2 linked regions of the Diceros bicornis minor genome follow. The protein of the gene in region 2 purifies or fractionates together with the protein of the main gene of each other region. This does not show direct contact. Links are inferred from orthologs where the notes say so. Each region holds a gene or a part of one and is shown on either strand. Other genes may lie near its edges. The genes, in order: BNIP3L and FBXL4.

What was found.
Region 1: the proteins of FBXL4 (region 2) and BNIP3L purify together in Homo sapiens (affinity purification with western blotting; 4 studies listed by BioGRID, with this or other methods). This does not show direct contact. The link is inferred for Diceros bicornis minor from reciprocal best matches to the Homo sapiens genes FBXL4 and BNIP3L.

The regions. Positions count from the first base shown.
Region 1 is NC_080750.1:67,540,324-67,544,239, forward strand, and holds the start of BNIP3L (BCL2/adenovirus E1B 19 kDa protein-interacting protein 3-like), read right to left. Parts: upstream 3,051-3,916; 5' UTR 2,979-3,050; coding exon 2,879-2,978; intron 1-2,878.
Region 2 is NC_080762.1:34,883,046-34,886,961, forward strand, and holds the start of FBXL4 (F-box/LRR-repeat protein 4), read left to right. Parts: upstream 1-729; 5' UTR 730-800; intron 801-3,916. UniProt on the Homo sapiens protein: Substrate-recognition component of the mitochondria-localized SCF-FBXL4 ubiquitin E3 ligase complex that plays a role in the restriction of mitophagy by controlling the degradation of BNIP3 and NIX mitophagy receptors.

The sequences.
Region 1 (3,916 bases), on a different chromosome or scaffold from region 2:
TCTTATCTTCTTTCCTCAAAGCCTTTATTTTATTCAAGTTCCTGAAGATTGAATCCAGATCAAGAACTGTCATTGACATTCTTCTAAAAACAAAGTTTGTCCTTTTGCACAAGTAGGTACTTACACACCAGTTACTTTTGTATTCAAAACAGTATCACAAGGCAGTGAAGTTTCACATGTCATAGCCTTAAAAGCCTTCTTGCCACACTGGGGAAGCAAGTATACCATGGTCGAAGATGTTTAAAAAGAAAATAAAAGGCTGTTCTTCCTACAATAAACAATAACAAAATTCTACTGCCATGATTTTCCTTATATTACTGACTGAATTTTAAGACATAAATGTCCAAAACAAATATTCTTAAGTAACTTGATAGTTTTCTCAGGAATAAAACTAACAACTGGAAACTGGAAAATATCCTTTTAACTTTGGAAGTAGTTCAGATATTTGTCCACTAATTTGTAATGAAAGTGTACAGTCCTCCTACAATGCTAAACTAAAAAAAAAAAAATCAGAGAAAGGTTTCATTATTCCACATATTTCAATAATTTGCTATTAAAACTCTGCTTTGACCTCTGAACTAAAGATAAAATCCCAAGCCAAGGATAATCTGTACAATGAGTTCATCTCCTGTTTTTCTTAGTTGTGCAACTTTACCCAACAAAGAACTTCAACTTATCAGCAATTAGGATAGTATTAGATGCCTGAATAAGTTGTTTTGCTCCGCACTCAAAAATCACTTGAAGGAATCAATAAGCCTTCTTGTTTTGTTCAGTCCAGTGTTGTATAATGAGCTAAAAAAAAAAAAAAACCAGTAAAAGGCAAAAGGCGAGGAATGAAATATGGCACTAAATAAAAGCTTTTCAGTCACTTTTAAAAGCTCACCCTACCCCAAATACAACACTTTCTATCTAGCAGATTTCCCAAAGCAACATTTTGATATCCCACACAGGCTGAGTGTTCTTCCACTTCTGTAAGAGCTGTTATACACGCAGCAGCTACTGATTGGCCAAGGACATCAAATACTTCAAAGGGCTGTGAGACTCAGAGTCAAACAATCACATATAGCTCAACCTCATTTTTTTGTTAAATGGTCAAAGGAAAATTAAAATTCCTCTGCTTTCTGTGAAATGTACACACAGGTAACCAAACACCCAACTTACACAAGTATCATAGGAAAACACTTGGGTACAATTAAAAAACGGTATATTAAAAAGAGATAGGCAGGTCACCTCTGTACATTAGGTGGAATAACATGCTGAGAGAACAAGAAACCCACACAACCAGGGGATTCTAGGCCACTGAAGTGTCCTGAAAGGAGCACTAGGTCTGGTAAAAGTAAAAACCTCAGCTCTAGGTGCCAGCCTGCTGTGAATCTGGACAGCACACTTTAGACGGGTAAATAACACGGGCGAGTTCTCTCTCAAGTCTCCTCCCATTCTAAAATCCCATGCTTCTGAAGAGTATGCTAAAAAGGGGTAAATAATTTAAAAATGCATATTAATATGTGAAGCAAATAACATTCAAAGACATAAATTAATCCTAATTTACTGCGGGAAATAATATATAAATCTTACATTCTAGAACATAAAATAGACAAAAGTTTTAAAAAGTCAACATTTAAGAAATTTATCCACCAAAAGATGGAGCAACAGCAATAAGCAATGATAACATCTTAAAATACTCTAATTCTATCCCTATCTTGTGAGGACAGGAACTCTCTTCCCTAAAATAATCTTTAGGCCATGCTGCAACACCTCCCTCTGATGAAATACATAGCAATGCCTTTAAACGTCATTTAAGCACCCAAATGATTTTTAAACGATTTCATCTAGCCATATGGTAACTGTCCCAACTACCTCTTTCATGAGATGAATTACAGAATGGTTAGGCAAGAACGTATTCAAAAAGACTCCGAGCTCTAAAGACAACAGGGACCACCTTAGCACAAGATGTCTGGGCATCAGAATGTTCTGAAAAGCAACTGTAGCTGACCGCAACTCAATATTGCCCAGTAACTTTCAATCGCCCGTGTGTGTGTCTTTTTAATCCCTGTTTCTGAAAATTCATTGCCCCAGACTCCGTGATTTGTGCAATCTTGGATGGCTCAAGAGGCTGTTCATAAACAGTTTTACAGGGCACATAACCCCATCGCTTCAAAAACAAAAAGAAAAAAAAAAAAGACACTTGAGTAACTCTGAAAAATCTCAAAAAAAAAAAAAAAGGGTAGCATAGGCTCCTCACCCCACCTCTCTGTGATACAAGTAACCACTAAATTACCAAATGATTTTCCTGACCAGCCCGCGGTAACAAAGGCCCGCGACAAGAGGGCTCACATTCGAGCCCTAAGGGAAGGCCGACCAGGGAGGTGGGGTCAGCGGGGCCGGCCCACGCCCCGTCGCACACCTGACCGCCCGCCATCCCTCGGGCGCCCCCTCCCCTGGGCCGGCCGGCCGCGTCCATCCCCCGGCGTCCCCGCCGCACGTCCCCATCCCTGCCCACGTCCCCTCGGCCGCCCGCTCCGCCCACCCTCCCTCCCCGCGCCTGAGGCCCGCCCCTCCACGCCCCGATTGGCTCCGCTCAGGGGCCCACCACAGGTGGGATCGGCTCGTCCCCATTCTCTTCCCACCCACCTGCCCTCCCCGACACCTAACCCCAGCAGCCCCTCACCCAAAACCCCGGGAGGAAGGGGAGACAGGTCAAAAGGAAGACAAGAGCACTCCTCCTGACAGGTAACGGGAGCTGTCAGTCACCCTCACATTCTCGGCCTGGACCAATGGGCTGCCTTCTCCTCCCGCCCCGCGCGCGGAGCTGGCAGCGGCGGCCACAGCAGCTCCTCCTCCCCCATCCCCTTCACGGAGCCCGCCGGCCCGCACTCACTGTTGAGGCCGGCTGGCGGGGGCAGAGACTGTTCACCGTCCTCGCAGTTGTTGTTGTTGTTGTGCAGGGGCGGCGGCTGCTCTACTAAATGAGACGACATTGTCGGGCGGCTGGAAGAGCTGCGGCCGCAGCAGGACCGTCTCTGGTTCTCGGGCAGCAACACAACAAGCCGAGTCCCCCGCCCCCTTTTCTGCGCCTGCGCAGTCCCTCCCCTGCCCCTGACGTCAGGGCCCGCCCCAGCCACGTGATGACAACACAACAAGCTGCGGGGCGGGGCGCGGGCGTTCCCAGGCCGGCTCCGGACGTGGAGACGCGAGAGTCACGCTGACGCGCGCGCCAGGAATGAGTTCTTGCGTGTTATTTGTACTGGTCTGATAAAGTGAGTTATGCGGCTGGAACTGGGCTTAGAGGCTAGGGAGAAGTGTGTAATGAGGAAGTGTAAGGTGCTCATGTGTTGACAACAAAATATTCCACACCTACAGGGTCAGCATTGTTTTAGCCAATCCGTGAGCACTTCTTGTTTAATGTCTGTAAGGACTCACTTCTGTAATAGGTATCATGGTGACACAAAGGAAGCAAAAACCCTGCTGCCTTCCCCGCCATAAACTAAAGCAAAGCTGGTGGAACATTAACACTCCAAACAGGGAACAACATAAGGCAGGCCAGACTTTGTTGTTGTTAAGGAATTTCAAAGATTTTAATTACAAATGTAACTCGAGATCATTGTAAAAATTGGAAAATTTTAGGAAAAGATAGAGAAGAAAATAATCACCCAAATACCATCACCTAATTTATTTCTGGGACATAACACGAGAAGCCATGTTTCCTATATGTGGGCAGCACGAAACTACTTTTTGTGCTTAAACACTACACCTACTTCATGTATCCATATCTTTGTCCAGTTTCCTTGGTCTGATTTATATGTGGCATATATTTCTCTCAGACTGTCACTTGTCTTTTAACTTTGTTTCGCTCTGCAGACGTTTAAAATTTTCGTGTAATCAAATCTATAATTTTTGTATGGCTTGGGAATACGCT
Region 2 (3,916 bases):
TTTCCATCTTAATAGAAACCTTGTAACAAGATAAAGATGATGCAAACTGAAAAAAGGGTGATATTGTATCTACTGAAAATAAATAAAAACGATTGAGTAAGGAAGACCATGAGAGCATCTTCTTCATCAGAGGTAATGATCACCGGCTTCAGAATGTTGGAAGAGAGATGAACCCGCACGGCGGATTTGTTATCTGGGGCAGAAGAGGTTTGCCAACTTGGTGATTTATGCCTTTAGAGTGCCTATAACATATTCCCCTCTTCCTCTGAGGACCTTACCACCTGTAATCCCTATGCATCACCTGACCCACCAACTCTGGATTGAAGAAGCCCTAGCAGGACTTCACTACAGGTGCCAGGCCGGTGGGAGGAAAGAACTACTCTCGCAGTAAATTTGCAACCAGTGCCCGCTGGGGAGTATCTGGCAATTTATAGGGCACGACTGGGTCTGGAAAACCAGCTGGAAGCTCCTCCCCTCGGCCTAGGAGAAGGCGGTTCTGACGCTGCGGACGGCCTCCAGCGGGGGCAGCGCCCCGCCTTCCCTCTGGCCCCGCTCCCGCCGGCCCCGCCCCACCCCGCCTTCCCTCTGGCCCCGCCCCCGCCGGACCTGCTCCGCCTCCCCGCTGGCCCCGCCCCTCCCCTCCTCGCGGCCTCTGCGTCTTCCTTCCGGGTCGCGCTGGGCCGGGCTCGCCGCCGTTGCGCCGCAGCGCGGCGTCTGGGAGCCGCCCCCGCGCCCGGGCCTCCCGCGCCGCCTGGTCTCTGGTGAAGCCCGCGGCGCGCGCCTCTCCGGGACGCTGCAGGGTACGGCCCTTCCTTTCCTTCTCCCTCCTGAGGGTCTCCCTCTTTCTCCTTCGGCGTTGGGGCGGGGCCGGGTCAGGGCGGAGCGCCGCGCTTTGGGGAGCTTGGGCGCCCAGCTGAGGTCCCTGCCGGTCGCCCCTCCCCCGAAGCCCGCGCTGCGCCGGCGGAGCTTGCTGGGGACCCTGAGGACAGCTGACGTGCCTTGGGCGCTGCTGCTCTGCACCAGCGTGTCCGCAGGGCGTGAGGCGTCGCCCCGACGTGCGCGCGGCGCGTGGGTGTTTACACGCGGTGTCTGCGGGCCCAGCTGACCCTGCTGCCCTGCGTTGGCCACCGGCCTGCCTGGGTACTTGTCGCTCCTGTGCGTGCTGCCTTGACTTCCCTCTGGCGTGGGATGGTTTTTGCCTAACCAGGCCCCTGTCCGTCTTCAGGACTGCCACAGGATACCCGGCAGCAATCTTGTTTCTATGTTTAGGGTTGTCTTGAGAGTGTAGTGTGATGATGAACATCCACTTGGCCTCCTTGTCAACATGTTGACAGTGGGAGTGGTTTTAGATTTCTTTGGTGGTTTCCCAAATGCTAACTGCTACAAAGCCTCGGGATGCATTCACTAATTGAAATATACAAATAATTAGAAAGTCGAGATGATATAAACCTGTGGTTAGGTAGGTGCGTTGGCAGGACACTGTGTCTGGCTTTATGCCCTGGGGGACTCACTGACAGCACGTCCGGGGATCTTGCTTTTTCTGGTCTCTTCGAGCACACAAGCTGTCTTGACTGCTTCCTGGCTTGCGCTCCTCGGTTTCTTTAAGTTCAGAATATAGGCACATAGTTTCCTTAAAATTCGCTTCATGCTTCTGTTGTCTTCTATTACATGTTGTACCTGGTGGTTGAACAGAGGGAGATTCTCCTGATATATCAACAATCCTATTAAGTTCTTGGGGGAAAGGGACAATGTACTTGTCTTTCTAGTGGCGATGTGTATCACCCCGCAGTAGGCACTCTGTAATTGTTCCTTGAATTGGATTCTTCTTTCCATACTTCCTTTCTGAGTACCAACTTTTTTTTTGTAACTGCTATCCCAAATTTTGGCTTTTACATTTAATGGGGGTACGTTGATTTCCTTTTTTTACCCCTTCCTTCCCCCTCCTTTAGAGTTTCTTGCCTATTCTTGTAATTTTTTTTTTTAGCTTGCCTTTCCCATAGTCAGTTGAATCATTAACCATTGTTAAATTCCTTCTCTTGCTAACTCAGAACTCGCCATGTAGAGTTGCTTCTCAGAGTTGTACATAGAGAAGCAGCTCGATTCAAAATCTGCATGCATTTTTAAATTTTGTTTTATTGAGGTCACATTGGTTTATAACATTGTGTGAATTTCAGGTGTACATCATTTTATTTTGGCTTCTGTATAGACTGCATTGTGTTTACCACCAAAACTCTAGTTTCTATCTGTCATCATACATGTGCCCCTTTACCCCTTTTGTACCCCCTACCTCTCTGGTAACCACCAATCTGTTCTCCCTATCTATGTGTGTGTTTGTTTATCTTCAACATATGAGTGAAGTCATACAGTAATTGTCTTTCTCCATCATACTTATTTTGCTTGGCATAATACCCTCAAGGTCCATCCACGTCGTCACAAATGACATGATTTTGTCTTTTTTGATAGCTGAGTAGTATTCCCTTAAATGTATATACCATATCTTCTTTATCCATTCATCCATTGATGGGCACTTAGTTTGCTTCCGAGTCTTGGCTATTGTGAATATCGCTGCAGTGAACATAAGGGTGCATATATCTTTTCGAATGAGTGTTTTCATGTTCTTTGGATAAATACGCAGCAGTGGAATAGCTGGATCATATGGTATTTCTATTTTTAGTTTTTAAAGAAATCTCCATACTGTTTTCCATGGTGGCTGCACCAGTTTGCATTCCCACCAGCAGTGTACGAGTATTTCCTTTTCTCCACATCCTCTCCAAAGCTTGTTATTTCTTATCTTTTTAATGATAGTCATTCTGATGGGTGTGAGATGATATCTCATTGTAGTTTTGATTTGCATTTCCCTAATGATTAGTGGTGTTGATCATCTTTTCATGTGGCCGTTGGCCATCTGTATATCTTCTTTGGAATCTGCAGTCTTTTGACTTGGCATTGTGTGTTAGTAAGTGTAGTGTGTCTCTCCTCATCAGCTATCACTTGGGGTATTCTTTACCTCGTTTTAGCAGCTCTACGGGATAAATGTCTATGGACGCGATCCCGGGGACAGCCTCATGTCCATTTGTATTTTACCATCCCAACTGGACATCTTAAATATAATGAATTTTCAGATGTGGCTATGATAGCTGCTTGGAAACTTTATTAGATTATAAAATAAATGTATATATTCTTTAAAAAAAAAGTCGAGTAATATAGAAATAGCCAAAGGAGAAAGTGAAAGTGTTGTGCCCACCTACCTTGTAACCTCGTTTTTGAGAGATCATCACTGTTTAATTATTTGTTCTCTTTCCTTCCAGACATTAAAAATACATGTGTACAAGTCCATATTTGTTTCATAAATGGCAGTGTATTATATAATTTTCTATAATTTCCAGTTAGTAATAATTGGTGAACATCTTTCAATGTCAGTGCATATAATATTATCTTTTTAAAGTGTTTTTGGTATTTTATTGTAGGAATAACTAGAATTTATTTAACCAATCCCCTGTTGATATTTACACTATTCCAAATTTATTTCTATTACAAACAAAACTGCAGGGATCATTTTTGTATGTATGTATCTGCATGTTTGTTAATTTCCTTAGTGTAAATGCTTAGATGTGCAATTGCTGGGTCAAAGACTATATACGTTTTAAATTATGATAGATTGTGCCATATTGCTCTTCAAAAGGTTGTTGTAAGAGTAAATTTATACCATTTATAAGAATGCTGCTGCTGCCATATCATTGCCAAGAATTGTCAAGGATCTGAGATTTTACCCTACTTGCAAGCTAACAGTTCATGGATACTGGCAGAAGATGTGCGACTCCTGGGTCAGAGACAAAGCATAGCAACAACAGTCGGTAGCCAGAGTTTCATCATTTTTTTTGTGCCACTTCCTTGAGCCCCAATTTCTGCAGGGTGA